2 linked regions of the Lonchura striata genome follow. Each later gene encodes a partner of the first gene's protein in a complex. Links are inferred from orthologs where the notes say so. Each region holds a gene or a part of one and is shown on either strand. Other genes may lie near its edges.

Evidence for each region.
Region 2: the proteins of LRRC7 (region 1) and CAMK2A are in contact, whole or in part, in a crystal structure (PDB 6X5G), measured with the Homo sapiens proteins. The link is inferred for Lonchura striata from reciprocal best matches to the Homo sapiens genes LRRC7 and CAMK2A. Residues at the interface, in NP_001357714.1 of Homo sapiens: His843, Gly844, Arg845, Arg846, Pro847, Leu848, Ile849, Arg850, Gln851, Asp852, Arg853, Ile854, Val855; in NP_001350919.1 of Homo sapiens: Glu96, Phe98, Glu99, Ile101, Val102, Lys137, Glu139, Leu159, Phe173, Ala174, Gly175, Thr176, Pro177, Gly178, Tyr179, Leu180, Ile205, Gly209, Tyr210, Pro211, Pro212, Phe213, Trp214, Tyr222, Gln224, Pro233, Glu236.

Annotation. Positions count from the first base shown.
Region 1 is NC_134611.1:4,795,450-4,811,363, forward strand, and holds the start of LRRC7 (leucine-rich repeat-containing protein 7), read left to right. Parts: upstream 1-8,453; 5' UTR 8,454-9,498; coding exon 9,499-9,676; intron 9,677-15,914.
Region 2 is NC_134617.1:6,353,031-6,368,662, forward strand, and holds the start of CAMK2A (calcium/calmodulin-dependent protein kinase type II subunit alpha), read left to right. Parts: upstream 1-8,627; 5' UTR 8,628-8,835; coding exon 8,836-8,897; intron 8,898-14,365; coding exon 14,366-14,460; intron 14,461-15,632. Other genes in the region: ARSI (arylsulfatase I), read left to right, coding at 543-1,950. UniProt on the Homo sapiens protein: Calcium/calmodulin-dependent protein kinase that functions autonomously after Ca(2+)/calmodulin-binding and autophosphorylation, and is involved in various processes, such as synaptic plasticity, neurotransmitter release and long-term potentiation.

The sequences.
Region 1 (15,914 bases):
GGATGTGGCACTTGGGGACACGGGGCAGGGCTGGCCTTGCCACTGCTTGGACCCCTGCAGCTCTCGCCCCCATGGTTCCCCCACCCCATGAGAAGATCATCCCACTTATTGTCTCTTTTATTTTGGAAAGATGTGTGGAAAATCTGGAAAACCTGGCCCGCAAAGCGAGGCGGAGTGAGAACAAACAGCTCCTGGTGCCGCTGCCACCGGTTTGGGGGTGATGGGAGAGCAGCAGTGGGGATGGGAGGGAGGGAATGGGGGCAGGCTCTGATTCACAGCTCCTCATCCCACAGTGCTTACAGCACTTGGGCTGGGAAAAATACCTGTTCCCAGGAATGCTCCTCCATAGGCTTGGCTTTCTCCTCGCTGCCATTGCTTAGTAACAGCTCTATTTTTAAATGCTAAGAGGGTAATAGACCAAAAAATGGGAGTTTGCTCAGTCTCTGATCCAACGGGCGCTAAACCCAGCGGGACAGGGCCCTTGGGATCACGGGAGGCACCTCAAACCCATCCAGTGCCACCTCCCGCTGTCCCAGGTGCTCCAAGCCCATCCAGCCTGGCCTTGGGCACTGCCAGGGATCCAGGGGCAGCCCCAGCTGCTCTGGGAATTCCATGCCAGCCCTGCCCACCCTCCCGGGGGATAACTCCTTCCCAATATCCCATCCCTTCCTTCCCTCTTCCAGCTTAAAGCAAATCTCCAGCAGTTTCTGCTAAAATGCACTCCCAGGAGTACCCAAACTTGCTAAAATCTCCTCCATCCAGCACATCCAGGGAGGTTTGGGGCTCTTCATCCAGCTCCACATCCTCCATCCAGCGCATCCAGGGAGGTTTGGGGCTCTCCATCCAGCTCCACATCCTCCATCCAGCAGGCAGGGAAGCGGGGCTTGGAGGGGAAAGGATGGAAGGCGTGTCCCGGGCAGAGTGCTGCGGGTGGAACTGGCATTTCGCGGGTGTTTAAACCCGGAGTGAGCGCGGCAGTGAAGCCCAGAGCAGGGGAACCCGGAGCAGCCGCTGTGCTGCGGCTGTCGGGGAGGTTTGCGCCGGGCCGGCTCCGGGAGCTGCCCTGGAGCTCTCCTTGGTGCCATTCCCGTGTCCAGCTGGGAAGGGACCTTCAGGATGCTCCAGACCCTTAAAACCGCACGGAGCCCCAGGCACATCCCAGCAGAGCCGGGCACCGCCTCCGCCCGTGGCCGCAGCCGCGCACAGCGGGCACAGCGGGACTGGCATCCCTGCTTTCCCCTTCCCGGCGGGACTGGCGTGCTCCGGGGCCGGGGGCTGCCCGGGGCTGCCCCTCAGCCCCGCGGTCCCGTTCCAGAGGCCGAGAAAGCTCCGGTGCCCCGCAGGTCAGAGGACGTGAGAGAGGAAAGGAGGGAGCCCGTTCCAGCCTGGCCCGACAGAGGCTCCGCTGCTGCTGCACAGCCCGCAGCTGCTGTGCCACACGCTGCTGCAGCGTGCAGCCACTGCAGCAGGGCAGGGAGAGGATTCCCTGCCCCGGGATGCTCTGTGCTCCGAGCAGAGCTCTGCCCGGGCTCCGGAGCATCCCTGCAGCAGGGCAGGGACAGAATTCCCTTCCCGGGATGCTCTGTGCTCCGAGCAGAGCTCTGCCCGGGCTCCGGAGCATCCCTGCAGCAGGGCAGGGACAGAATTCCCTTCCCGGGATGCTCTGAGCTCCGAGCAGAGCTCTGCCCGGGCTCCGGAGCATCCCTGCAGCAGGGCAGGGAGAGGATTCCCTGCCCCGGGATGCTCTGAGCTCCGAGCAGAGCTCTGCCCGGGCTCCGGAGCATCCCTGCAGCAGGGCAGGGACAGAATTCCCTTCCCCGGCTCTGTGCTCCGAGCAGAGCTCTGCCCGGGCTCCGGAGCATCCCTGGCAGCCCTGGCAGTGCCATATCCTGCCCTGGCAGCCCTGGCAGTGCCATATCCTGCCCTGGCAGCCCTGGCAGTGCCATATCCTGCCCTGGCAGCCCGGCAGCCCTGCAGCAGGGGGGCTCTGCAATGCTGCTGCCCCCACGCTGGCACAGCAGCTGGCAGTGACCTTCAGCTGCTCTTCAGACGGCAGCTCCGGCTGCGAGAGCCGCGCCTGGATTTGGGGAGCTGAGAGGGAATTGTGCGTCTGAGAGGCAGCTGCAAGCAGGGATTGAAACACTTTTTGTGTGTAAACCCGGAGAGCTCAGCTGCTCCAGGGAGGGACTGAAATGCCGGGGGAGGGTTTTGACGCCGCCTGATCTCCAGGTCCCGGCAAGGCGAGAATGGAAATTGGAGCGGGGATTCTTCTGGCAGCGTTCCTGAGCTCTGTGGCCAGCACTGGACATCCCAGTGGCGCCCGGGGTGCTCATGGAACCACGAAATCCCAGACTGGTTTGGTCAGAAGGACCTTGAAGCTCATCTCACTGCAGCAGGGACACCTCCCGCTGTCCCAGGGCACATCCCAGAGCAGGAGATCGGGATGGTCCCAGCTCCTCTCCTGAATTCCTCTGTCCTTTTGTGAGACAGGGAAGAGGGAGCAGTTCAATCTCCCCGGTTGTTACATTTTAAAACAGGTTTTTGAGGTTCTTCCAGATGATAGAAATGCAATCATTTCAGTGTTAAAAGAAGAAATTTGCTGTTCCAGGTTTAAGAGTTATCATTTTTGCAGGTCCAGCCTGATGATGTCATCGCTCCAGAAAAAAGGAACTTTTCCCCAAATTAGCTTTAGTACAGGGATGCAAATACCCCAAGTTATTCCAGTGTCATCCTGGTGGAACAGCTCCAGCAATTCCCCATGGACAGTGACAATTATCCACACTGGGGCTGAGGGGGGAGGGCAGCACCCGGCTGCTTTTTGGGTTTCCACAAAGATTTTCCTTCCTTTTCCACTCCCGTTTTTCATCTCCTAAATTCTGCCTCAATCAAAATTCCCAAACCCATTGGCCATTTTGGGCAGAGCCTGGCAGATCCCTCCTGCCCAGCTCAATTCTTTGCCACCTGAACCCCCCTTGTGCCTGTGGCACCAGGGCCATGCCTCATCCCCTCCTCTCAACCCCACAAGGAAAGGCTCCAAAATTGGAGATCAGCTTTGTCCGGGAATACTTCAAGTAGTACTTGAGTGAACTTGGTGAAACCAGAGGGAAAAAATATATTGGGAGTTCTAAAGGGAAAATGTTCAAAGCTGTGCAGCTCCACCATTTATTGAACAGAAGGAGCTGAGTCCTTAAAACCAGTCCTTCTCTCTATAGTCCAGACTTTAAAAAAATGGGGAATAAAAATATCTTTATTTCAGGGTTATCTATGTGCTGCTTTGATTCACCCCCCTTCTTCCCAGCTGGACTTGACCAGACCCTTCTGAGCCCAAACCTGCAGAACGCTTCTAGGGAACACATCCAGCTTTCCTGGGAAATTTGCTGAAAGAATTTCATTGTTCTAATGCAGCCAGGCCCAGAGCAGGAAAGGGGAAATGCATGGAAGAGCAGAGGCAAAGCCCAGCTTAGGGACTTGTTCCACTGCCCAGCTGGAGCTCTGCCTCAGCAGAGCTCAGGAGGTGCTGGAACCCACATTTCCCACTGTTCCCTGGAGCTCACATTCCTCACAGTTCTCTGGATTCTCTGGAACCCACATTCCTCACAGTTCTCTGGATTCTCTGGAACCCACATTCCTCACAGTTCTCTGGAACCCACGTTCCTCACAGTTCCCTGGATTCTCTGGAACCCACATTCCTCACAGTTCTCTGGATTCTCTGGAACCCACATTCCTCACAGTTCTCTGGATTCTCTGGAACCCACATTCCTCATTGTTCTTTGGATTCTCTGGAACCCACATTCCTCACTGTTCATGGAACCCACATTCCTCACATTTCTCTGGATTCTCTGGAACCCACATTCCTCACAGTTCTCTGGATTCTCTGGAACCCACATTCCTCACAGTTCTTTGGATTCTCTGGAACCCACATTCCTCACAGTTCTTTGGATTCTCTGGAACCCACATTCCTCACAGTTCTCTGGATTCTCTGGAACCCACATTCCTCACTGTTCTGGCCTGCTCTTTGCTGCCCTTGCTTTTCCTGTTTGCTGGAGTCGGTGGAACCACTGTGGAACTGGTGTGAGGTGATGGGAATTGAGGGTTTCAGTTCCACAGCTCCAGCCTTGGCCTTGCCAGCTCCAGGCTTGGGGGGTTTGGTTCCCACCTCCCCCTGGCACATCCCTGTGTTCCTCCCTCTCCACATTTGTCTTTTCAGGGAAGAAAAGTCTCTATTTTCTCAATAAGAACTCGGCTCTTCCAGGGGTTTTCCAGTTCCTTTGTGCCCTTCAGAATCTTGGTGTTTTTCAGGAACATCAGCACAGAGCTGTGATGTCACCGTGTCCCTGCGGCCACCCCGTGTCACCGCCAGGCCTGCCAGCACCCGTGGGTGGCAGTGGCTGCCCCGGAGCCCCAGAATGGGACACGGCAGGAGCAGGGCCGGCTTTGCTGCCTTTGGGAACACAGAAGGGAGCTGAGCAGCTCCAGGACTTGCTGCTGGCCCAGCTGCTCCGAGGGCCACCAGGAGAGGCTGCAGGAGCCCAGCCGCGGGCAGGGCTGTGGCAGGAGGTGTCCCAGCCGCGGCAGGGCTGGAACGAGGTGAGCTTTAAGGTCCCTCCCAGCCCAACGCGTTCTGTGTCTCCGAGAGCCCCGGAGGGTTCCCAGGGTCGCTGCAGGTCACACAGCGACAGCGGGCAGGGTGGCACAGGGTGGCACAGGGTGGCACAGGGTGGCACAGGGTGGCACAGGCACGGGCGTGCCCTGCTCTGTGCCGCGGGGATGGAGGACAGCAGGGCAGCCTCGGGTCCCTGCCGGGGGTTCCCCATGACCCCCGCGGGTTTAGCCCGTGGCCCGTGACACCGCAGCCCGCAGGGGACACCGAGCTGTGCCCAGCACTGCTCCCGGGAGGCTGCGAGCCCTTCCCGCACCTTGGCCCGGGTGAGGAAACCGCTCCTGTGGGAAGGAGCGATGAGCGGCCCGGAGCTGCCCCGGGGCCGTGGCTGGGGGCCGGGGGATGCTCCGGGGATGCTCCGGGGATGCTCCGGGGATGCTCCGGGGATGCTCCGCGCGCGGGGCGCCCCGTCGGGACGGGGACGGGCGGGGACGGGCGCGGGCACCGCCTGCGCGCTCCGCTCCGCACCGCATCCCCCGCACATCCCACACGGCATCCCCCGCCCCGCATCCTCCCGCATCCTCCCGCATCCTCCCGCATCCTCCCGCATCCCCGCTCCGCACCGCCCCGCGGGGGGGGCGCGGCCGCGTCCCGCCCCCCCGCACCGCCCCTGCGCCGCCGCGGAGCGCAGCGCGGGCGCGCAGCGGGACCGGACCCGCCCCGCCGCCGCCGCCGCCGCCGCCGCCGCCGCCGCCGCCGCCGCCGCCGCCGCCGCCGCCGCCGCCGCCGCTTTGTGTCTGGGCGCCGCCCGCGGAGGCGGAGCGGGCCCGGCCCTGGGCTCCGCGGCGCGGCGGGCGGCGGGACAGCCGCGGGCAGCCCCCGCACCGCGGCTCGGCCGCGCATGGACGCGCGCTCCCGCCTGCACCGTGAGTAGCGGGGCCGGGGCCGGGGGGTGCCCGGGCCGCCGCCGGGCGCGGGGAGGGGGCGCGGGGCGGCCCCGCCGAGGACAAAGAGCGCGGGCAGCGCCCGGGGCGCGCCGCCGCCGGCCCCGCGCAGCCCCCGCGGCGCGGCCGCGCAACCTGCCTGCGGCGCGCTCGGGCTCGGCGCGGCTCCTGGAAAATTCTGCGCCCTTCGCAGCGCCGGTGGAGGCGCGGGGAGGTGCGGAGGAGGCTCCCTCCCTCCCTCTCTCCCTCCCTCCATCCCTCCTTCCCTCCCTCCCTCCCTCCCTCCCTCCGCGCAGGGACATCGCCGCCTCCCGCGGTCCCGCGTGGCGCTGCCGCTGCGTGCCCCGGCCCGTTCTGTGTCCGGCCCGTTCTGTGTCCGGCCCGGTGCCCAGCGCGGTGCCCAGCGCGGTGCCCAGCGCGGTGCCCAGAGCGGTGCCCGGGGTCTGGGGGCAGCGGGCGATGGGCACCGGCTCCCCCCGCGCTGGGAGATTCGGGGGAGGCTGGGCAGGAGCCGGGCCTTGCGCTCGGAGCCCGCGTGTCCGTGCCCGTGCCCGTGTCCGTGCCCGTGTCCGTGCCCGTGTCCGTGCCCGTGTCCGTGTCCGTGTCCGTGTCCGTGCCCGTGCCCGTGTCCGTGTCCGTGCCCGTGTCCGTGTCCGTGTCCGTGCCCGTGTCCGTGTCCGTGCCCGTGTCCGTGTCCGTGTCCGTGTCCGTGTCCCTGTCCCTGTCCGTGTCCCTGTCCCTGTCCCTGTCCCTGTCCCTGTCCCTGTCCGTGTCCGTGTCCGTGTCCCTGTCCATGCCCGTGTCCATGCCCGTGTCCGTGTCCGTGTCGCTGCCGAGGGACAGCGTGTGCCGAGGGCACCGAGCCGCCTTTGCTCGTTTGCCCTGGGAGGCTGGGCCGGGGAGGGTCACGGACAGGAGAGCCCTGCTGGAAGTTCCTTGGCTTTTGGGAAATGGAAACGGTCCGATGGGGATTTTTGCCGTGGCCCACACTCCATCTAAATCCCTTCCTTTCGCTCCTGTCCGCCCGTGATTTCCAGCTAAAAACTCCGGCCACGTGCCGTTGGTTGGTGCCTTTAACCTCAGGTGCTTGGGTGGGAATAATCCTTGGGAAGAGCTGAAATCCAAAGCGTTTCCCTCAGCGCCCCACGAGCAGAGAAGTGACTTAACCCGCCGGCTTGTGCTGCTCCGCATCTGCTCGCTCAGCTCCTCGCGGAGGAGGAGGAGGAGGAGGAGGGAGGGATGCTCGCCATGGCAACCTCGCAGATTGCGGCCGCTCCGGGGAAGGAGCAGCGCTCGGGAAGGAGCAGAGCAGCGCTCGGGAAGGAGCAGAGCAGCGCTCGGGAAGGAGCAGAGCAGCGCTCGGGAAGGAGCAGAGCAGCCGAGCCGGGACCCGGCGTGCTCGGGCGGGACGGTGGCCCCGGGAGCGGGACCCGCTCTGGGGAGCGCTCCCGGTGCCTGGCCGTGGAGAGGGAAGGGCCCCGGGAGGTCACGGAGCCTCCTCTGCGTGCAGCCGCAGCGAGAGGAGGGCTCTTCGTTCTCCAAACATCATTAATTACCGTGATTATTCCGAAATTCAGTGATTTTATCATCCGGTGCCTCGCTGCGCTGCTTTACCTCGGTGTCCCTGTGAACTTTAACCTTGGCCTGTATTCCATCTGTAAAACTTTTTCTTTGGATAAAGCGGCGATTTTAATTTTTTAATTACCTCACGGAGGAGGAGCTTTGCTCTGTGCTTCTGTTACACAGTTGGTGTGAATTCCCTGAAAAAGGGGGGTTAGATTCCACTGATTTTAGCATTTGCTGGAGTAACAAAAGCTTTCCGGGGTGCCTGGTGGATCCGAGGAGCTGCAGCTCGGGAGCAAAGGCTGCGGAGGGCTGCGCTGGAATCCCTGGGAAGGTGCTGCCTGCCCAGCAGCAAATCCCCCACTCCCTGCTCCTGCAGCAATTCCTCGCTGCTTCCCACAATGCATTCACAATTGGTTCAAGTTTAAAACCCCACAGAAAGGATTTTAAAAGCTTGGGCGCTGTTCCTGGAATATTTCAAGGCAGCAGCACCGTTAGAGCCCCCAAAATTCAGAATAATCACCTGATTTAAGGTGTTTGCACCTGGTGAGGCTTTGCTGGGAGCGTTGATCCTAAAGCAGAGACTCCAGGGATCCCGAGCACAGCAGGACATGGCAATCCATGCCAGGACAGGCTGGGGCCGTGCGGTGGCAGCCCCCGAGTCCCCCCGAGCCCCGTGGGCACGGTGCCATCCCCTGGGCCAGCCCCGTCCCCTGGGGCAGCCGGGGCAAACCGGGAGAGGCCTGGGGTCAGGGAGGGGGACTGAGGGACAGCAGGGCTTCAGGAAGGGTGAATCCTCCTGGGCATTCAGGGAATTTTATCCTGCTGGAATTCAGCTGACACCCCTCCCCTGCCCGGCGGGGGAGCCGAGGCTCCGTCCCTGGCGCGCTCCAGGGTGCCCGTCCTGGCTGGCCCGCCTGGCACCGGGCTGGGCACGGTTTTCGGCAGGTGGAGGAGGAGCTGCTCCCCTGCGGGTGTGGATCCATCGGGCTGAGCATCGGCACGGGAAAAGCCGCTGGGACACAGCTGGGGCCGGGAGCCCACCCGCAGCACCCCGAGAGGGTCCCAGGAGCAGCCAGGGCCGCTTGAGAATCCCAATTAAGGAATTCGGGATTTCGGTGGATGCGAGCCCAGCGCAGCCCGAGCTCCTCGAGGTGGTACCAAGCCCTATTTAAAGATTTCCAAGAGCCACGATGTGTCCTTGGTTTTCATCTCAGCTCCCTCTAATTTTAGCGTGGTTTCCGTAGGCTCTCATTTGCAGATTGCATCAAATCCTAGGACAAGGCTTGCAGAACTCGGGGCTGGGTTTTGGTGGCTTTTTTTTTTTTTTTTTTTTTTTTTTTTTTTTTTTTGTGATTTTTTTTTTCCTTGGGAATGCAGCAATTTGTCGAGAGCAGAGAAATCCTCTGTGTTTGACTGGGCAGAGCCGCCCCTCCCGGTGCGAGCTGCGGAGAAGTTGGGGAAGGGAGGAAGGTGGAGGGATGAGCAGGGATGGCTGGAAGCAGCTCGAATGAGGCTGGAGAGCCCCGGGGAGAAGCCGCTGCTGGCGGGGCTGGAGCCAAGCGCAGAATCAGGGGAAGAAAGGAGCCTTAAATCCCCGCGCTCTGGGAAAAGGGAGCAAATACCGTGTTAATGGATCAGGTTCTGGTGAATAAAGAAGAAAAGAAGCTGTAAGATCAGGAAGGCTCTTTTTTATTATAAGGAGGAGAACATTCCTCATCCTTTAGTTCCCTTGGATCCGGAGTGAATGACTTTAGAGCTGCAAGAGTTTAAGCTCATCGGAGGAAAACGGTGCTTTTTAATTTTTTTCTTTTTTTTTTTTTTTTCCTTCCCGAATATTTTTGCTGGGGAAAAGATTTGGAAATGAGACTCGGAGCCAAGAGAATCCGTGGAGAGCAAATGTAACCTTTTCTAGGCTAGGAAGCAGTGGCCAGCGGGCAGAAATAATCCGAATTCGTGCGAGTCGGGCGGAGGAGAGCGCAGAGCCGAGCCGATCCCGGCGCTCGGGATGTAGGAGCCGCGGCGGGACTGGGAGCGCCGGGCACATTCCCACGGCCGGGAATCCAGCGCTGCGATCCGCCTCCCGGGGGTCGCGGGGCGCCGCTCGGGCAGCGCCCGCGCCGGAGGTCCGGAGCGTCCTTGGGATGCTCGGCAGCTCGGACCGACTCCGGGGGATCCGCCGGGAATAAAACCGCCTCTGAGGAGCCTTCGGGCAGCCGCGGAGCTCGGGAATCGTCCCCGCGGGCCAGGCGCACAGCGGGCAGGGCGAGCATCCCCCCGCGCTGCCCCGAGCGCTGCCCGGGCACCGGGGCTCGGCCCGGCCCTGGATCGCCGCACGACCCCGCTCCCGTCACTCGGACATCGCCGCCGCGGCGGCCCCGGAGCGAAGGGATGGCATGGCACGGGCACGGGCACGGGCACGGGCACGGCGGCATCCCCGAATTCCCCCCGCGAGGAACGCGCCGAGGCAGCGGATTCATCCCTCCCCCGAGCCACGGCAGGAGCCGCGAGCGGGGCCGGCGCCGGCGCCTGGTGTCCCTGCTGCAGAACCCGAGCCTGCTCTGCAGAGGTGCTGGCGACACCCGGGGGACACCCGGGGACGGGGGGGACACACCTGGGGGGCCGGGGGGACACCCGGGGGGCTCGGGGGGACAGACCCTGTGGAGCTCAGAGCTGCTGCCACCAGGGGACACGGCTCGGCGGGGTGGGGGACACACCTTGGTGGCTTTGTTTGGGGACAAACCCTGCTGGGGTTGAGGAGATGCTGGCAGGAGGGACAGCGCTCGGTGCAGATGCGCCTTGGTGGCTTTAGGAAGGACAATGATGGCTTTTGGGGGAGACAAACCCTGCTGGGGTTGAGGAGATGCTGGCAGGAGGGACAGAGCTCTGTGAGCACAGACCTTGGTGGCTTTAGAAGGGGCAATGGTGGCTTTGAGGGGGACAAACCCTGCTGGGGTTGAGGAGATGCTGGCAGGAGGGACAGCGCTCGGTGTGGATGCGCCTTGGTGGCTTTAGGAGGGACAATGGTGGCTTTGGCAGGGGACAAACCCTGCTGGGGTTGAGGAGATGCTGGCAGGAGGGACAGACCTCTGTGGGGACACACCTTGGTGGCTCTGTGGGGACAGACAATGATGGCTTTGGTGGGGGACAGATGCTGCTGGGGTTGGGGAGCTGCTGTCCAGAAGGGGACACAGCTCTGGGGGGACACACCTTGGTGGCTCTGTGGGGACAGACAATGATGGCTTTGGTGGGGGACAGATGCTGCTGGGGTTGGGGAGCTGCTGTCCAGAAGGGGACACAGCTCTGGGGGGACACACCTTGGTGGCTCTGGGGGGACAGACCCTGTGGAGCTCAGAGCTGCTGCCACCAGGGGACACGGCTCAGGGGGGTGGAGGACACACCTTGGTGGCTTTAGGAGTGACAATGGTGGCTTTGGCAGGGGACAAACCCTGCTGGGGTTGAGGAGAGAGCTCTGTGGGGACAATGATGGCTTTGGTGGGGGACAGACGCTGCTGGGGTTGAGGAGATGCTGGCAGGAGGGACAAAGCTCTGTGAGCACAGACCTTGGTGGCTTTAGGAGGGACAATGGTGGCTTTGTTTGGGGACAAATGCTGCTGGGGTTGAGGAGATGCTGGCACGAGGCAACAGCTCTGGGCAGGGGGACTTTGGTGGCTTTAGGAGAGCCAAACCCCACTGGGGGTTGAGGAGCTGCTCTCCAGAAGGGGACACAGCTCTGGGGGACACACCTTGGTGGCTCTGGGGGGGACAAACCCCGCTGAGGGTTGAGGAGATGCTGGCAGGAAGGGACACAGCTCTGTGGGGACGTGCCTTGGTGGCTTTAGGAGAAACAATGGTGGCTTTGTTTGGGGACAAACCCTGCTGGGGTTGAGGAGATGCTGCCAGGAGGGGACACAGCTCTGGGTGGGGAGACTTTGGTGGCTCTGGGGGCCAGGGAGCTGAGCTGTGGCTGCCAGGAGCTCTGTCTCCAGCTCTTCCCAGGTCAAACCCCAGCAGTCTCTGCTTTTCTCGCTTTTCCCCCCCAATATATAAAAAATCAGCTCCATGCAGACACCTCCACAAGTTCTGTTTCCAGCAGCACCTTCCATCTTCCCTTCGCCGCTGCCCTTCCCAGTGCTGACCTTTGAGGAGTCTCTGGGACAGAGGTTCCTCAGCCCTGGGACACGTCTGGGAGATGTTTTTGGCCCCGTGCTCCTGCCGGGAGGGCACTTGGACAGCCTGGGGCAGAGGGACAGGTTGGGATGGTGGTGGAGCCATGCTGGGAACGGAGGGATGAGGCTGGGAAGGGCCATTCCCTTCATAGGCAGCATTAAAATCAGGACTCTGGTGGTCCTCCCAGTGGGGATATCCTGGCTCCATCCTCTGAAGGGGTGGGAATCTCGGTGCAATTTGATTTTGCCCCAGGTATTTGCTGTGTGTGCGGCGTGGAGGCAGCTCTGCCTGTTGTTCCAAGAAATATCCCTACATTCTCCAGCCTGAGCACTAAATTGGTGGCTTTCAGCAGTTCCCTAATTATGTGAGACATTTTTTGTACTTAACAAATGGTTCTGATTCCTGCCAGCACTTCAGCCTGGTGTTCCAGGCCCGTGGGTGTCGGGGAACAGAACATATTTCTGTGTCTGTGAATATGATCCCACACGTTGTCTTAAGTGGGAAAATGTTCGCAGCCCTTATATGGAGAGAGATTTTTTTTTGATTCTTTTTTTTCCCCCTCTAAATCCATCAGCGCTCGCTCCTGCAGCACGAAGGCAGTTTGATCCTCCCGGTGCTCTCCTGGCTGGATTGGGAAGCAGAAATACACAATGGGCTTCCTCCTGCTCCTGGCAGGAGCGGGGCTCTGCCCTCCAGCCCTGCAGGAGTTGGGTTTGGGGTGGGGGATGCTGTCCCCACCTGCGGGGGAAGGAACCTGGGGGCTGCAGGTGCTGCTCCTCCTGGGACTGTGCTCCCTCCTTACCCTGCCTGGGAGCTCCCACCCCAGCCTGGGCTGGCATCGCTGCAGCCAGGAGCTGTGGGGAAGCTGGGGATTGTGGAAAAACCTGGGAATTGTGGGGAAAGCTGGGAATTGTGTCACAGCAGAGTGACGGGGCCCTGCTGTGCCAGGGGGATGTGCTGTGCCACGCAGGGAAATCCGGGGAGCACAGCAGGGCTGGGAGCGCTCGGTGCTGTCCTGAGGGAGCTCTGGGGAGAGCCTGGGACAGACTCCTGGAGCAGAGCCTTGGGAGGAGCTCCTCGGGCTGATGGAGGGCTGGAATTGCCTTCCAACGGGTTTTGTCCAGGAATAGCCACGGCTGCACGAGGTGTTCCTGTTTGGGAGCATCAATCCCAAATCCTCTGGGCTTTGTGGTGCTCATGGAGGAGCAGGAGGGGAGTGAGGCCAGGCTGGAGTGGCCGTGGTCACTCAGGCTGTGGATGGGACCCTGCCCCAGGGCTGGGCACAGGGGCAGGATCAGCCCTGAGCTGCTGGGAATGCTCTTCCCAATCCAGGATCCACTGGGCACTGCTGGCCAGGGACATTTCATTGTCCCTCAGGATCCCACTGCTGGCCAGGACAGCTCCTTGTCCCAGGTCCCTGTCCAGGGACTCCTGCAGGTTGTGCCATTTTGGGAATGAGGTTCTGCATGAGCCTTGGGCACCAGCTCAGTGAGTGGACCCGTATTTGTAGGAATTTTCCTTGGGATGTAGAACAGGGCTTTCTGGGTTGGTTGATCTATGGCTGAAGGTGCTGCAGTGTTTTTCTCAGGATTCTTTTTCCTGCAGCAAAGCCACTTCTCAGGATTCCTGCAGAAATACCTCTGTGGAAAGAGGCCACACTGAAAACTGGGAGCCTGGGCACAGAAAGCCCTGAAAGCAGGGAATTCTGTGCATTTTCCAGGGCTGCCCTTGTCTCCACGTGCCAGCAAAAGGCACCCTTTGAACGGGATGTCATTGTCACTCTGCTGGATGAGCATTTCCAGTTGTGATGACAACCGAGTGAGGACTTGGAGGAGTGGAAAAGGGAGCTCCAGGAGCTGCCAGGCTCAGGCCTTTCCTCAGAGCTGCTATTTTGGGGGGACTGCTGCAGCAGCAGCAGGTGTGAGGCAGCGTGTCAGCCTGGATTTCATCCCTGCCCGAGACACCCTGGCCTCGGAGCGGTGCCTTTGGAGAAATCCATCCCCAAGGTCGCTTGTATCCATGGGAAGGGCTGGCAGCATCCACCCACAGAGCAGCTGCCTGCTTTGTGTCCTCCTTCGGTTTCTCTTTAGTCCAAGTGAGTTTGGGGGAAATACAAACCAGGGTGGGGGCAAGGAGGCAGGAGAGTGGCATTCCAGGGAATTCTGGAGTGCCCATCCCTGGAGGTGTCCAAGGAAGGGCTGGGGGTGACCCTCAGTGCCCGGGCTGGGGACAGGGTGGGGATTGGGCGCAGCTGGGACCTTGGAGGGCTTTTCCTCAGGAATTCTGGGATTCTCAGGATTTGCTGGAATCTCATGCACGGGGTCGGTGAAGCGGGAGACCCTGGTTGCTGTGAGCCCCCAGACGAAGCCGGGGCTGGGTAAATGAGAATTCGGGGCTGGGTTGGACCCTGCCTGGCCCCCTGTGCCCGTCCAGCCAGGGCCAGCCTCTCCTGCAGCTGCAGGCAGCAGCACAGGGGCCTGGAGCTGTGGGCAGGGAGAGTTGTGGTGCTGGGCACTCGTGTGCAGCTGTGAGCCACAATTCCAGTCACCATTTGTTTCCCAGGAATTCCCGGGCAGCTCGTCCCCATATCCAAACACATTTGCTTTTTCCTTGTCTAATTTAGTTCCTCTCTGCCCAGCATTTGTGACTGCATGCAGCAGATCTGACTCTGAGCTATCCCACAGCTTTTTCTTTTTCTTTTTCTTTTTCTTTTTCTTTTTCTTTTTCTTTTTCTTTTTCTTTTTCTTTTTCTTTTTCTTTTTCTTTTTCTTTTTCTTTTTCTTTTTCTTTTTCTTTTTTCTTTTTTCTTTTTTCTTTTTCTTTTCCTTTTCCTTTTCCTTTTCCTTTTCCTTTTCCTCTGTATCCTCACAATCTGCCTGGAGTCAGGAGAGCTCCACGGGCTGCATTCCGTGGGTCCCAGTGCAGGGCAGGAGGCTCCTGGACCTGTGGGAGCTTTTGAGTGAATCTGCTGCTTTGTTGAGAGACTCATCCATGTTTATCCCAAAAAAAAACCTTCCCAAATTTCCTCTGGAGCAGCTACAACCCAGCTAATTAAAACAGGGATCAAAACGGGCGTTTGAAATGGAAGTGAAAATGAAATTAAGAGAAAATAAAGCAAATAAAGATTGAAATAGAAATAAAACACAGAGTGGTGGCTGCTGCCACCATTTAACTGCAGATACAACATGAGCACTTCTTCTTAATTAAGGAGTGGAAAAAGCTAATTAGCAAACTGCATCGTGGCATTGTTGTGGAGATGAGGGCTTTGTGACTAAAGTTGCTTTGAGGAAGCAGGCCAGGAAAGAAATCCAGGTTTCCTGCAAGATCTGTAACGATTTTGTAATTGATTTCCTGGAGCAGGATTCTTCATTTGATGGGATTTCAGCTGCTTGTGTTTGTGATTTCTTTGTCAACAAGAGGAGCACAAGCCAGGTGTGTTTGGGGCAGTTCTGAGAGCCTGGGACAAGGTTTAGTGGGTGAAGTGCAGTGGGTGGAAGGGAACTTGAGCTGTGGTTTATTCTGCACAGGCAAATTGGGAATTTGGGATGGCATTAGAGGAGCTTTGGGGGTTGGAATCAAATGATCTTTCATAGAGCCCCAGAATATGCTGAATTGGAAGGGACCCTCAGCATTATTGAGCCCAAGTCTGTCCCTGGTCAGGACATCCCAAGTGGGAATCCCAAAAAAGGGGAAAACACCCGAAAAAAAAATCAGCAAAATCCAACTCAGACCATCCCACAATCCTGTGACTCGGAACACATGCAAATGTTAAAAAAAAACAAAAAACCCTTAATTTTAAGCACGTTCAGGCAATTCCAGGGCACGTGGAGAAGCCGAAAAGGAAAGATCCTTTCCCACAGGAGCCCTTGGACTGGGCAGACGCAGGGATGAGCTGGGTCTGGTTTGGAGCAGCCCTGGCAGGAGCCCACCCCACGCTCCCTGAGCGTCCCTGGGGTGGGCTGGGAGCGTCTGGTGGCCTCGGGCAGAGGGGACTGTCCCCTGCAGGTGCTGTCCCTTTTCCCTGCCAGGCTCCCGCCGCTCCCATTTGCAGCCTCATTTCACCTGGGACAGTGCCTGGAGCAGCCCGGGGGACCCTGGAGCAGCAGAGCTTCGTGGATGAGTAAATCAGCAGCTCCTGCAAGTGATTCAATGAAGGTGGCATCTCCGGGCAGCCTCCTGGCGTGGTTTTGCCAGGTTTGGATGGATTATTTGAGTGTTTGCAGGAGGCTTTCCATGCTGGGAGCAGCGGGCAGAGCATTAAATGCAGGGATGCCAGGTTGTGCTGAAGGGCAGCATTCCCCGTGCCAGGCGCAGGGCTGTGCATGCTGCACAAATATTGCAGTTTTTCCATTCAGGGGGTGGCGTTTGTGCCTTTTCCTCCCGTTCCTTCGGTTTCATTGCTGCAGCATTCTCTGGAATAAATGGGGGAGAAGCTGTGGCAGAGCACAAACCTTGGGATTTCTCTGCCACGTGTTCCCTGCCTCCTGGGAGGCCGTGGCCTGACGGCTGCACTGATTCCTTTGGCCTTTCGGGCAGTTTTCCATGGAATCCCAGAGTGGTTTGGGTTGGGAGGGACCTTAAAGCTCATCCCATGCCAGCCCTGCCATGGCAGGGACACCTCCATGTCCCAGTGCCTG
Region 2 (15,632 bases), on another chromosome or scaffold:
TGTGTGTTCAGCATTCACTGTAGGAGGCAGATCCCACCAGACCACCTCCTGCTGAGAAGTAGGCCCCAGGGATGTGCTCACCTACTGCCTGGAGTGGTGGAGCCCACCATGGTCCAAGCAAAGGCCTTCCTTCTCTCCTGAAGGTTCTTGAGGGGTCCCAGATATCTTTGTGGTGTGCAAAGCAAGGGAGGACAGAGACAGGGGGGTTATTCAGGTGGGGCATTTTGAGCCCACTTGCTTGTGCTCCCCAGCCATGACGCAGCCGAGCCACCTCCCTAGGCTGGTAGCAGTGGGGACAAATGCTGGTGACATTTTTGTGAGATGTCTGCTGAGCCTCTCTCTGTGTTCTTTGCATCTACTTTTGGTACTTATGGATGGATGAGGAGCTCCCTGTCCCTGGCTGGAGCTTGCTTCATTGGGTTGGGTTGGGGACATGGAAATCTGCATTTGTTTTGGTTCTCTAACACATAAAGTGCCATCACATCCTCCTCCAGTGCTGCTCCTCATCACCATTGCTTTCCCCTGGCTCTTGCTCCTGGCAGGTACCAGATCCACACAGGATTGCAGCACTCCATCATCCGCCCTCGGCAGCCCAACTGCCTGCCCCTCGACCAGGTCACCCTGCCACAGAAGCTGCAGGAAGCCGGCTACTCCACACATATGGTGGGCAAGTGGCACCTTGGCTTCTACAAGAAGGAGTGCCTGCCCACCCGCCGGGGCTTCGACACCTTCCTGGGCTCCCTGACAGGCAACGTGGATTACTACACCTACGACAACTGCGACGGGCCGGACGTCTGCGGCTACGACCTGCACGAGGGGGAGGACGTGGCGTGGGACCAGAGCGGGAAGTATTCCACCTTCCTGTACGCCCAGCGCGTCAGCAAGATCCTGGCATCCCACAGCCCCAAGGAGCCCATCTTCATCTACGTGGCCTTCCAAGCGGTGCACACGCCCCTGCAGTCTCCCAAGGAGTACATCTACCGCTACCGCTCCATGGGCAACGTCGCCCGCCGCAAGTACGCGGCCATGGTGACCTGCATGGATGAGGCAGTGAAGAACATCACCTGGGCCCTCAAGAAGTATGGGTACTATGACAACAGTGTGATCGTGTTCTCCACGGACAACGGTGGGCAGACCTTCTCCGGGGGAAGCAACTGGCCACTGCGGGGTCGCAAAGGGACGTACTGGGAAGGGGGAGTGCGTGGCATTGGTTTTGTCCACAGTCCCCTGATCAAGCGCAAGCGTCGGACAAGCTGGGCGCTAGTTCACATTACAGACTGGTACCCTACTCTGGTCAGCCTGGCCAGGGGCAACCTGAGCAATGTCCAAGGCTTGGATGGATATGATGTCTGGCCTGCTATCAGTGAGGGCAAGGACTCACCACGCACTGAAATCCTGCACAATATTGACCCCTTGTACAACCACGCCAAGTATGGCTCCTTGGAGGATGGCTTCGGCATCTGGAACACGGCTGTGCAAGCTTCCATCCGGGTTGGGGAGTGGAAGCTCCTCACTGGTGACCCAGGGTACAGTGACTGGATACCCCCACAGACCCTGACCAACTTTCCAGGGAGCTGGTGGAACCTGGAGCGTCTCACTGATGGCCTGAAGAAGTCCGTGTGGCTCTTCAACATCACTGCCGACCCCTACGAGCGCTACGACCTCTCAGGGCAGCGCCCAGACGTGGTCAGGACCCTCCTGATGAGGCTGGTGCACTACAACCGGACAGCCATCCCGGTGCGGTACCCTGCGGAGAACCCCCGGGCTCACCCAGACTTCAACGGTGGGGCCTGGGGACCTTGGGCCAGTGAGGATGATGGGGAGGAGTGGGAAGGTGGCCGGGAGTCCCTGAAAAGCAGGAACAAGAAGAAGAAGAAGAAGTGCAAGATCTGCAAGCTGCGCTCCTTCTTCCGCAAGCTGAACACCAGGCTCATGTCCAACCGCATCTGACAGACACTCCTCCAGCATCCACCCATCCTGGCCAGGGTGGGGCTCTGGACTGCAGTGCCATGGGATGGGAGCGAGGGAGAAGGACAGGCAGGGAGGTGGCCAGTGCTTTCTTGCTCTCCCTTGCTCCAAGGTTTACTCCAAAACACTTCTCCCCCCTGGCTGGAGTGGTGGCCACAGGGAGTTGTTCCCAGTGGGTGAGGAAGGGCAGTGTGGTCTCTGCTGCAGTGCTTGGTGGTGGTGAATGACTGTGCTGAGCTGGGCTGGCCCTGCACAGCTGCTTCCAAAGAGAGAGACCCTTTCCTCAAGGATTCTGCAGCCAGTCATAAGCTTTAAGTGTTGGCCATCACAAGGGCAAGAGGAAGCATGGGGTGCTCTGCCTTCACGTTAAACCTCAACATTTCTGTTTGTCCCTGGCTTGCAGCCTGCTGCCAAGCAGCTGCAACCTTTGCTCTTGCTGGGAACTCAAGGCCTCCCCCAAACCCAAGACCACATTGCTTCTTTGTGGAGCACTGGATTCCTGACCACAGATGTCAGACCTGAGATTCAACGTGGCTGGACTAAGTAATGCTGCTACTGTGACCTCATGCGGGGCTATGGCTTCCCCTCTGCACTGGCCTGGGGAGCCGGGAGCAGCCCTGATGAGGAGCTGTGGCCATGGAGGCATGGTTGGATGCTCCCAGAGGACAGGTGGTTCTCTTTGGCCTCACATTTGGGAGGCAGGTTTGACCCAGGCTCTGGCGGTGGACTGCACATGGGTTAGGTACCCAGCAGAGCCTTTCACTCAAAATTTGCCTGGACACCCCCATCATCTGCAAGCCTCTAGGCACCCCTGTTCCTCCCTATGAATCCTATACATCCAACCAGCCAACCACCCCTGTCTGCCCCTTCCCAGTGCTGGAGCTGTCCCTGTCCCCACATCCCATTGCTGAACCTGGAGCAGTAGAAGATCTCAAGAAGGTCTCTGCAGAAGCTGATCTGCTGTTTTGTAGCTGCAGGACTTTAGAAGCAATGGTGGAGGACGGGGATGATGGGGACGTCTCCCGCCTGCCAGCAGCGCGCCACATCCCCTCGCCACAGATGGGCACTGCTCTTCCAGCAGCGCACGCGTGGGGAGGAAAACACCTCCCCATCATCCGCTGCTGTGGGGAGCCAGCCCATCCCATCGCCAGCGGCCAGGGAAGCCAGCGAAGCTCCGGGCCCCCGCGCCTTCGGCGGGGTGAGAGCGCGCACACGCGCGCTCGCAGGATCGCTGGCGAGGATGGAAGGGGGTAAATAGCTTTGAAATCACTTTGGATGCATGGTGCATTTCCATTTACACAATGTGTTTTACATTTCTCCCCACAGGTTTCTCTTGGTGCAGCGTGTGTAGGCGAAGGCCCTGCTGTGAATTTTGAAAATAGTTATTTTTGTCTCTGGAAAATGAGGCCCGTTAGGACTTGTCAGCTCTTGGATGAGCAGTGTGGGCTTTCTATTTTTTTTTCTTTTCCCCCCTCTCTTTCTCCCTTGCAAAATAACATTCATTTAAAATCTGTCATTGAAAGATGTGACAATTGGCAGCGTGCACACTGAATACCTTTCAGTGCTCTTTCAAGCCCTGTGTGTGAGAGAGGGATGAGGATGAGAAGAAAATGACATGTTTGTATTTTTTTTTTTCTTACTCTTAGCTGGATTATTTGGGGGTAATGGGATTTTCTCTAGAAACAAAGGGGAAAAAAACCAGCTGACAGCAAAGCAGAAGAGAGGAGGCTTCTTCTTGTAGAGCTGGGAAGGAGTTTGAAAAGCTGGAGCGTGGCAGTGTGTGTGCCAGTCCCCGCTGCTCCACGCACGCCCATTGCTGTGCCATCCCACCCCGCTGGCTCCCTGCATCCCTGCAGGCACATCCCAAGCACAGGGTTCAGAGGGGACCCCGCTCCTCCATCAGCCCCATCTCCATCCCTGCTCCCTTAGCATGTTGCTCCAAGACGACTGTTCCACATGGCATTACCTGGGTGGAGGTGAGCCCCAGGAGGAAGCTCCACATCCTCAAACTACCTCAAATCAGCCAGCCTGGTCCCTGGAGATGTGCACCATCAGTGGGACTGCGGCACCGGCTGCCATTTGGCAAAGCCAAGCAGTTGCTGAAAATAAAGCAACATTTTGCTGAAGAAGAGGAGGCTGCTGCAGACAGAGCCAAAGCCAGGGGAGAGCAGCAGGTGATGCTGCAGGGGCTTGGGAATAAATATTAGCTAAGGGAGCGTTGGTGCTGAAGGGAATGGGAGAGCAGGGCTGGACATGATGTGGTGACAACGCTTGGGAAACAGCTTTCATTTCCATATTTACATAAATGCATCCAAGTTTAGTCCTTCTTTTATTTTCTTTTTTTTTTTTTTCCAAAAATGTAAATTTCCATGAAAACATGCTCCATTTTCCTCCCTTCTCTTTTACAAACATCCCCATGAAAATGCTCGTCTGGTCTCACTTCCTCTTTCTGGGTTTGGATCTGCTGGGCTGATGCTGGGTTTGCAGTCAGCCTGGCCACAGTGGTGGATCTTCTGTCATCTGTATTTTAATTAAAAAGAGTTGGATTCTGAATCTTTGCAAGAAAAAACAGCTGAAGGAAAAGCTTAGTCCCTGAAAACAAAGAGGAGAAGTAGGCAGGAGCATCTCCGGGTGCTAGGAGAGAGCAAAGCCTCCAGCCTGAGGACAGCAGCTGTCCTTCACCCCTGATTCCAGCTGTGCTGTGTCTTAACATTGGGCTGGGAAAGGAGATGCAGCTGCTGCCACGTGTTCTCCTCATCACAGCAATGCTCTTAATGGTCTGTGCTGTGAAAAACGCAGCTATGTGCCAAAATCCCATGTTTTCAGAGAGCTGAAGTCCTCTGAGACTGTGTGCGCGCTCTGGCTGCCAAGGGGTTAATGCAGCTGGAGAGATGCTCAAGCAGTGGAGTTCCCCGCACCCGGGAGATGTGTTTTCACAGACAGGCTGAGGCTCCCCTCCCTCCCAACCTCCCTTCAAAGCTCCTGGCAAGCCCCAGGGAGCTCCCGAGCCCAGCAGGAGCTGGATGCAGGATGGGGGCCTGGAGGGAAGGGGCAGGGGGTGCAGCCGGGGCCCCCGGGGATGGAGGGGTGGTGGCTGCCTCTCTGTCCGTGTGCACTGGCTGTCCCCACCCTGGCTGTTTCCAGCCTGCTGGCTGGAGCGAGTGGGAAGGGGATGGGCTGGGAAAGAATGGAGTTGGGATGGGATAGAGATGGGGAGGAGGATAAGAGGGGGGTGGGGCTGGGCTGGGCTGGGCTGGGAAGAGGAGGGGAGTGGGATAGGACGGGGATGGAATAGGGATGGGATGCATTAGGCAGGACTGGGGGTACGTCAGAGCCTCTCCAACCCCACAGGCAACTCCCACCGGAGAGAGGGAAGAAGCCCAGTATCAGGCCAGGGGATGGACATCCCAGCAAACTGCCCCAGTGGCAGAGCACCCTGAGCATCTCAGAAGGTGTTCTGCATCAGGGGCACTTGTGTTCTTTCTCATGCCAGTGATCTGAGGACATGTGGTTTTGCAGGTTCCCCCCACTCAGATCTGGTGCACGATGGTTCCAGGGAGCCACATGGCACCTACTGATTGTCCCCAAGTGTCATGGGCATGTCCATTGGAGGGTCTTTGCCTATGAACCCTGCTGTAGGGGAGAGAGTGGCACTGAGAACACCCTGTCTCGGCCAAAAGCACCTTCCTGTGGTTGCAGGAGTAACTGCTGGGCCCATAGGGACAGGGCACGTTTGCAAACACAGCCCTAAATGTAAATCAGCTCTCCTCACCACGGTATTTATAATCTTATCTAAAAATAACCCCAAATTCAGCTTTCCAGAGGACAGCAACTGAGCATCCCCCAGACCCCAGCTTGCATGTGAAACTGTCCCAGTAATTTTGGGATCTCTGCAGTATGTAATTGGCAGCCTGGCTGGTTTGGTGTGCGAGGCACTGCTGTAAGCCCCATCCCCTGGGAGCAGGAGCACCTGCTGCAGCCCCCCAGGACACGTGGGTCCTTCCTGAGCTGCGCATCCCGTGGGGTTGGGGTTCAGCATCCGACCTCGGGTGCCCACCCTGGGCCAGCCCCGTGGTGCAGAAACCAAAGCTCTACAGGCAGAGCTAGAGGGTGTGGGGAGCAGGATGCATTTTTGGAGAGGCCAGCCCAGTGATGGAGAGGAGCACTGGGGATGAAGGTCTCCATCAGGTGGCCAGACCCGAGCATGGCAGCAGAAGAGCAGCATGGCTCCCAAAGCCCTGCAGGAGCAAATCTTGGGATGGTGGGAACAGACACATCCTGAGAATATCCGGAGGCCTCTGGGAGAGGACTGGGACTATTCCCCCCTACAGGGGAACCCCCAGCCCAGAGGTGAAAGATTCCACCCAGAGCTCCTGCTCCCCTCGGTCTGTCCCCAGGCACTCAGGACTGAGACCTGTTCCTGCTTGGGAAAACACTACCAGCAAAGTAGAGCTTGTTCAGCATGCAGAAGTCTGACACCCCCTTACCCTAAGAAACAAAAATGTCGAGGAAAAGGAAAAAAACTGAATAGAGAGAAGAACAGAGAGGAAGAAACTTTTCCTGGAGAGCCGTGTCTCTGCTGGGCAGGAGAACCCTGGGGGGGGAGGCAGGGTCCTGGGGGGGACTTTGCCATCACCCCTGCCCGGGTGAGGGGTTTGGGCTGCAGCAGGGGCCCCGGGGGGAAGGAAGGGACACATCCCTCCTCCGGCTCCGGGAGCACGCAGAGTCACGCGTGTGGGGTTGAGCACGTGTGGCAGTGTGGGGGTGGGCACGGGGAGGGGGGCAGGTCACATTGCGGAGCTCACGGGGACACGAACAGCAGCGCAGGTGGGAGGGAGGTGGGAGTGAGGCAGGGGCACAGCGCTGCCCACGGCCATCCAGGAGGTCTTGGGAGTGGGGGGCTCTTGCTCTTGCCTCTAGGGTTCCAAGGGGCTGCTGGGGGCTGGCAGCAAAATGCTGGGGGAGGAAAGCACTCCCACAAACATCCAGATGCACCGGCCCCCATGGCAGCCCCCCACCACCTGGCAGAGCCCTGGGGTGGAGAATGAACCCCTCTTTTTTTGTGGGAGCACCATGGGGAGGAGTTGTGCAGATGCCTGGAGGCATTTTGGGGACTGTCATGTCCCCGGGGCACAGGTGGCACATGTGCATTGCCTGTAGCCCAGGTGGGGGTGCCTGGTGTGCTCTGCCCATGCCAGGGCACGGCCAGGGTGGGTCTGGAGGTCATCAACCCTTGGGGACTGTGGCCTCACCCCTGTGCCCTTCCATGGCTGGGAATCAGTCCCTGCTCTGCCACCAGGGTCACCTGGATGGGACCAGACAGGAGCGGGAGGCTGGATGCAGGGATACAAGGTGGGGATGAAGGTGGGTAATGGTGCAATTAATGGAAAAGCCATTAGACCTTTCTCCTCCTCCCCCTCCTCTTCCTCACTCCGCCACTTGCTGTCCTCCTCCACTTCCACCTCCTTTCTTCTCTCCCTCTCTGCTCCTCCTCTCTCCCCTCTCAAAGATTTCTCCCTATTTTTGTCTGGTTAGAACCTTTTATTTTCCTTTTAACCCTTCCATGGCAGCCTGAAAGAGAACTCAATCTGTCTCAGCTGCCAAAGGCAATGCCCTCCCAGCTGGCACAGGGAGTCCCTTCTCCTGTTGTGAGGAGGGCCCCGCTGCTGCAAAATCATCCAGAAATGGGACACAAGCCTAGTAGAAAGATCTTCTGGGGGAAGTCAGCAGGTGGAAAATGCAAGGGGTGCTGTAGACAGAGTGGGTGCTGCTGGATCCCCAGAGAGGGCTGGTGGGGACTCAGAGGGAAACCCCTTCCTTGAGGTTTTGGATCTCACATCTCCACTTTTATCACACTTTTTGTGCTTTCTTATGTTCAGCACAGCAGAAAGGCGACTCAGCAACAAAAAGTCCAAGGACTAGAGGCCAGACCTTCCTCCTATTCGCACTTTGAAACTCCCCCCTTTCTTCCCTGGCTTGGGCAGCACAGGGACACAGCACCCCAGGACACAGTCCTTTTGCTCCCCTCTAGCTGTGCTTCAGGCCAGGCTGCTCATCCCTCTCTGTGAGGGACCCTCAGGAGCTGCTCCACAGGAACCCCAGGGCCCTTGGGGGATGCAGTGGGCAAATGGGGGAGTGGGGAGCAGCCAGCCCTCCCCTGCAGTGTGATCGGGGCCAGCCCCTCTGGGGACCCTGGCTGAAGGTGGGACAGTGTGGGGACCTTGGGACCTGCCATGATTTCTCCAGCTTCTCCTGACACACTTCTGCTCCATCTGCTCCCTCCTGCTGCAGTGTGGCCCCATCCCACAGCCCGCAGGGCCCCCAGGAATGCTGCTGCAGGTACCAGAAGGGCCTGTATTTTTTTTTTTTTTTTGGGGCGGGGGGAGATAAGCAGTTGCTGGGGTGACAGCATCCTCCTGCAACATGGAAACCACAGTTTCCATGGAAACCTTTTTTGCCCCAATTATTTTACCACTGCCACAGCCTTTAATTTGCCATTAATAGTTGTATTTTAGATGTCCCCCTCCGCAGCAGGTGGGTGACCCCCGGGCAGCCCCCGGCCCGGGTGCCCAGCAGGGCCCTGGTCCCCACGGAGGGCGGCGGGTTTGGGAAGCAGTTGCCCCGGCAACAGAAACAGGGCGTTTCTGGCAGCGGTGGTCACCATGGGGACGGCGATGCTGACGAAGGCTTGTGAAGCTGAGAAGACAAATTGCCCTCATCATTATCTCCGGGCTTGTCAATCAAATATATTCCCTTATTTACCTCAGCGAGGAGAGAGCCCCGGGAGCACACGGAGAGGGAGGGAGCGAGAGGAGAGCTGCTTGCCCCAAACTCCGCACCGGGAGGGAGCATTTCCAGCCCCTCAGGATGGCCACCATCACCTGCAATCGCTTCACTGAGGAGTACCAGCTCTTTGAGGAACTGGGCAAGTAAGTTGGAGATGGGGCTGGGATGCTCAGAGCGGGGCTGTGCCCTGGCTGGGAGAGAGACTCAGCGGTGCTGGGAACTGCTGGAGATGAGGGAAAGCAGATGGGCATGGAGAGAATGCCGTGGGAATCAGAGAGGGCACGCGAGTGAGGACAGGAGCTTCCAGCCCCAGACCTGCTTCTCTGTCCCTGCCTGAGTTCAGGGGCTGCTGGTGGATGCTTGGCTGGGGGCATGGGACACCCCAGAGGTTTGGAGTTGCTTGGGAAAGGCTCGGTTGCCCCTCTTATGGAAAAGCTGCTCCCAAAAAAGAAGGCTGCTAGCTCCCTTGGGAAGTTCTCCAGCTGGTAGGAGGGACAGGACAGCTGAGGAGGAAAGCCAAAGCAGTGGACACCCCTCACATTTCGTTAGGGAATTTATTTGTGTAGATTCACTAGGGCTTGAGTAGATCTGCAGGAGACCCAGTCTGCCTGGCAGTCCCCAGAGAATCCCTGTGGCTTTTGGAAAGATCCAGGGTATTCTCCACCCCTGTCCCAGTGAGCCACAGCACTGTCTGACCCTGCTTTCCTGCAAAGGAGAGCTCGGCTCCTCTGGTCCAGCTGTCATCGTGTGTGCCTGGATCAGTGTGTGCGTGTGTGTGTGTTTGTGTGTGTGTGTGTGTGTGTGTGCAAACAGAGCTGCCTGTGCCCAGCCAGGGGATCCTGGGGAGCACTGAGCACCCCCGGGTGGAGCAGGGGATGCCAGGTTCCCTGTGTGGAGGGATGCTCCGCGTCCCGCCCAGCGCGAGCCTACAAAACGGGTGCAGGAGTGAGCAGGCATGTGCCTCTGTTTTGGTTTCTGTGCCTTTTTTTGGAGCTGGTGTGCAAATCTGGGCCGTGTGGCCACCGTCCCTTCGGAGTGGCTGGCAGCGTGGTGGTGGGCTCAGGGTGCCTGTGCCCTGGAGGGGAAGCTGTGCCCGTCGGCAGGCACAGGGATGCTCCAACCCCGCAGCCCTGCATTGCCCGGGCACAGAGCAGCCTGTGCCTCAGCGTGTGCCCACATGCACGTGGGTGTGTTAAATGGGGGCGAGGGAGAAGGGAGAGGGCAGAGATGGGGACATGGAGAGGCTGAGACAGGAGGACTTTCTGATGGCTGGGCTGAGTGCTGCTCACATTCCCCAGCCAAACTGTGGCATCGGAGTGCTGCTACAAAGTGCAGCTCCGTGGAGGCAAATGGAGCCCACCCTGTCCTGGGACATTCACACCCATCCCTGTGGCATCAGGGTGACAGAGAGGGGCTGGTGGACTGCAGGGGATTGGGTTCAGGAGTGGGTCCCTGTGGTGGGGACAGCCCCAGCTGGCACTGCAGGCAGGGGGATGGGCACCCTCCGGGGAGCTGGTGGCAAGGTGGGATGTGGGACCTGCTTTTTCCAGACTTTTCTTGGCTTTTCAGGGCTCTAGGGTTTTCTGGTGGTGACAGGGGGTAGGCAGGTGAGGCAGTGGCTGTTCTGTGCCTGTGGTGAAGCTGTGGGGCTCTGGCTGGGCAGAGGTGGCTGTGGGGATGTGGAAGGGAGTTCGCAGGCTGGGAGTGATGGGGGAAGACCAGGAGGGCTCCTGAAGGTACCTGGGCTGTGATGCTTTGCTGGGTGGGTGCTGACTGGAGGGTTGAGCACCCAGGCTCGGGGGCTGCTTGCATTGCCCGGCACTGTGGTCCAAAACCACCTGGACAGATGCATTTTAAAGGGAATAAAGGAGCAAAGCTGGCGCAGCAGCTCAGCAGCCCCTGAGAGCATCGCCCCCGACCACCCCAGTTCTGGGGGGATGCAGGGCAGTAGCCCCAGCTCGGTGCATCCCACAGCTCTTCCATCCACTCAAGAGGGAGGTACAACAGCATCACTGAGGTGTTCCCGAGTTAGGGGCTTCACCAGGTTAGCCAAGGTGCTGTGGAGCTGGTTGGGGATTTTCCACTGGGATGGTTTCCAGCACATCCTGGCACATTCAAAAATCAGCGGTTTCCCACGGGGAAATTTCTGCTTCATGGGCTTAGAGAGGGAAATCAGGACGAAGTGCCGCACCTCTGCTCTGCTGCGGCAGCTGCTGGCGCTGGGCAGCGCCGTTCCCCTCCGGAGAGACGCTCCCGGTGCCAGTCGGGGCGGGTGTCCTGGCAGGGCTGGGCAGAACCGCTCTCCCCGCGCCAGAGCCGGGCAGGGAGCAGCGTCCTGCAAGGACTCAGAGCAGAGAGGGTCCATCTTGAGTTTGCTGTCCCCAAGGGACGGGAGCGGGCTGTTGTGGGGCACACGGTGAGTCCCCAGCCCGGGCTGCCAGGCTGCTGCACCCGCCCTGTTTCTCTGCCGTTCCCTCGGCTGGCACCCACCCTGGCCGCCGGGCAGGCGGGGGTCTGAGATGCCACACACCTAATGGCAGCAGCACGGTGGGGCTTTGGGGGCAGGCCGAGATGGGCAGGGAGATCTGCAGAGTCTGCCCAGCGAGGCACAAGCCCTTGGCACATCCCTGCACCTCCCAAGCATGGGAGGACATCTGTCCCGAGCGGGGGACACGGAGCTGGGGAAAGCCCACTCCTGCGGCAGCCCCCGCAAAGCTGAGCCAGTGAAGGGCTGCTCCGATCCCCACGCCTGCAGGAGGGAATCGGGCGGGGGGCAGCGGGGGGGACAGGGAGAGGATCCTGCCCACGGCCCCCCGGAGTAGGACAAACATGAAGTGCAGCTCCATCGGCGCCTCCAAATCCGCCCCCGCAGCAGGTTCAGGGAGAGGCTGGAGACAATTACCGTGCCGAGCCGCAGGATCAGCCCCTCCGCTCCCGGAGCTGCAGGAGAGGGGGCTTATTAAAAAGGAAAAAAAAAAATATGGAGGAACAAAAAATCCCCAGCCCACACTCTGCTCTCTAGAAAGGAAAAAAAATGCCTCGGAGGAGGAGGAGGTGTTGAAGAGAGGGAGGGTGGCAGCAGCACAGCCGGGCACTGGCAGGGAAGGTGTGAAAAAGGGAGAAGCGGAGCAGCCTGGTGGCAAAGGCGCTGCTTGAGCTGGTGGGGAAGGCCGTGGGGACGAGGCATGGGGTCATGCCTGGCCTAGGGATCAAGGGACAGAGGCTGCAGGGCTGGGGCTCAGCAGTGCCAGGGCTCGGGGCTGCAGAGACAGGGCTTGTTCTAGGCTGTGGGTCCAGCCAGGTGACCAGGACACAGAGTGTACCCATGGCCCTGCAGGTGATGTACCCGTCCCTTGCTCACACTGGGACATGCTGTCTCATCCAAGCCAGGCAGAGATGGGGGTCCTCAGCTGCCACCAGGCTTGGGGTGATCTCCACCCAAAGGCCCAGAACCCTGGGAGCAAAGGAAGATGCTGCTGCCCATGGCCAGGGAACAGGACAGGAGACCTTCCTTCCAGAGGGGTTTCTTGCAGCTCAGCAGGGCTGAACTCCCTGCATGGCACCCCCAGCACTGCCTGCAGTGCGCCATGAGCCCTTGGTGTGGAAGGGGATGCTGCCTTTGCCATGAAGATGATGTATTTAGATGGAGCAAAGTGGTTTTTTTCCCCGCTAGGCTGGAAAAATCCTACATGGAACTGAGTAGCAAGGTAGCAGCCTGGCACAGAGAGTAGAGCCGGGCTGGGGGTCAAACACCCAGTGTGGAGGGTTCCTGGCCAATGCAGACCCACTGAAGGACCCAGCTGGAACAAGGATGGGGGTATGGCAAGTATGCTGTACCCCTGGGTATCCTGCACCTGCATCCAGTGTTCCATGTTCCACCCACCCTCCAGGCACACAGGGTTTTACTTATGCTTTACAGACCACAAGTAGACATTTGGTTTCTGTTAGGAAGGTCTGGAGGAGCCAAAAGCCAGGAATGCAGCTGGGGGAGTGAAACAGCCGCTTCCCATGGCTCCTCCTTTTTTGCTGTTCAGTTCAACTAAATAGATGAGCAAGTGGCTGTGGACACTGGGACCAGGAGTGACTATTAGTCTCCAGCCTCCAGTGGATCTGGGACACCCACAGCCCTCCAGCCTCATGCTGGGTTCTGCAGTGAAACCCTGAGCTGGGGCAGAGGGACATCCCTGCTTGCTGCACTCTCTGCTGCAGACTGTCCTGCCACTGCAGAAACATCACACATGTCTTTAGGACAAAAATTAGAGAAGATGAATCCCAGGGATATACAGGAGCCCACAAACTCTACACGGTGTGGGGTTCCCAGCAGGATGAAGAGAGCGAGACCACAGGACTGCCAATAGTTCTGGTCTGCCTACCTACTGCAAGCTGGATACGAAGCATTTCGCCCACCCTTTCCAGTTATTCTTCCCCAGGATTCAGGGATATTAACAGCTCAGCTCTTTCAGGAGCCAGGATTAAATGGCAGGACGGGGAAGCTGGGAAGCACCAGGATGTTTTCCCTCAACTCCTGCCTGGCACGTGCCGTGAGCGATGCTCTGCGAGGCAGCACTGGGCGCGTGGGCTGCCAGCTCTGCTGGGGCTCCATCCCCATCCCTCCACACCCGCTGCTCGCCTGCTCCTCCAAAAATCACATTCAAACCCAAATTGCCCGTCTCCACCCGCCCCTGCCGCTAAAATCAATTATCAGCCGCACTCGCCAGCCCGCGGCCTTTTATTCCTCAGCAGGGAGTTGGAGTGGGGTGAAAGGGAATGGGGGAAGGTGGGGCAGGAGGTGGGATTGCTTTTAATAGTTGTTATTTTAGCGATTGGAGAGGTTTGGCAGGAAAGGGAACCTGGCACAAAGGTTGTGCTCAGCAGGGCTGGAGCGTGCATGTGTGTGTGATTGCAGTGCTGCAGCTCCCAGCATTGCGCCAGCACTGGCAGTGCCACGAGCTGGCAGAACTTGGGGCATGGGGTACCAGGGCAGACAGGAGTCTTTGGAGTGTCCCAAGGCCTGCCAGACCCCAGAAGAGCTTTGCACATTAGCTTGGGCATCTGCAAGGTGCAATAGCATCCATCCCTGTCCAGCTGGGCTCCATCCTCACAGGGTCACCCGGCTGTCCCTGCCTGGGTGACAGTTTTGCAGTGCGGGGTGGGAATCTGGCACTAGTCACAGCTGCCAAGTCCTGCTGTGACTGAAGGGTCTAGAACACACAGACTGAAGTGACCAAGAGCTACATGGCAGCTGCAGCCATCACGGTTTCCCTTGGGAACCAGTGGGAATCACTGCCCCTTCCCTCCTGGCAACAGGTAGGGCAAAGCCAGGAGGAAGGGGAGGAAAAGTGCACGGTGCCTGGGGTGTCCCAGAGGAGCACAGCGGGGAGAAACCCACATTCCTCTCTAGGCCCGCATGTGCCTCCTCCCATCATCCCTCAAGGATGGTGGTGCAGGGAAGTTGATCCCTCCTTGTTTTGCACAAGTCCCTGCTCCAGTCAGCACCTATCCCCATCCTTGTCCCCATGCTGTGGCTGCCCCTCACCCCACAGTCACATGAGAGCTGAGCTGTGCTTGCTCCCACACTGAGCCCTTCACCTCTGGCTTCTTCTGTTCTCAGGGGCGCTTTCTCCATTGTCCGGAGATGCGTGAAGGTGTTGGCAGGACAAGAGTATGCAGCCAAGATCATCAATACCAAGAAGCTCTCTGCTCGAGGTAAGTACTGAGGGTGTTTTGGGGAAAGCAAGAGGTGAGCAGGGCTCATACAGTGGGGAATTTGTCCCCTCTGCATGGTGCTGGGATGATGCCTTTGATGTGCAATGAGATGAGGGGTCTTTGATTGAGCTGTGCTTGACTCCTCATCCCACTCTGTCCCCACTGCAGTACTCACTGAGCTCCTTGATGGATGAGCTCCTCCATCCCAAGGAGGTGGTGTCTTGGTGGCTGCTAGCCACATCCCATCCAATCACAGGGATGGCTCTGCAGCCTGTCTGTGCCAAGGCTCAGGGGAACTCCCAGACCCCAATCTACATCGTGAGCCAGAGGACCCCATTTCTGTCCTGAGACCTCCTCACCACCACCCTGCACACACATTGCAGCAAAATGATGGTTACAGCCTTGCAACAAGTCAGAGTGCTGCCAGCTTTGGGCACAGGGTAGCACAGTTATTTTGGGAGCATAACTTCTGAGAGGGCCCCTGCTGACACCCTGTCCCTGCACTGGGGTCTGTAAGTTTTCTTACTCATATACCTACATCAATGAAAGGGGAACACCCCTTCAGGTGAGGGTTTGACTTCATTTCTACCTGGGGCCCTCAGCCCTTGCAGCCATCTGCTCTGGTGGAGCACATTGCCTGTTTGCTGCTGGAGGGTCTGTCCCAGTGGGTCTATCTCTAGTGAGGCTGAGATGAGCCAGCACAGAAATCATTAACCAGCCCTTGCCCCAAGCCAGGGACCCCTCTGCCCCCGTGTGCCCCACCTGGCAGAGGAGCTGTGATGAGGTGGACTGAAAGGAGGAGGCAGCAGATGCTGTGTCCCCGCTCCGGCTCCTCCCTGGCTGTTGGGAGTGCAGGATAAGTGCTGGGAGGAAGCGCCCTGCCGGGAGGGTTTAATTAACCTCCCTCGGTGTCTCTCCCAATTCCACTGCTGGCCTCCAAAGGCAAAACTGAAATGCAGGAAAGAGTGACAAGCTCCTTTCTGACCTGGAATTAAACCAGCATGTCGCAGGATCCCTCCCACAGTGCTGCCAAAGCAGCACAACACAGGCACTGAATCCCTGAGGTCCTCCAGCACCGACCCCTGCCCCTCTTCAGGGATGCAGGTAATTTTCTTCCTCCAAAGCCAAAGGCTGGGCTCTGGACAGGGTGTGCAGTGCTGGGCTCAGCCCTT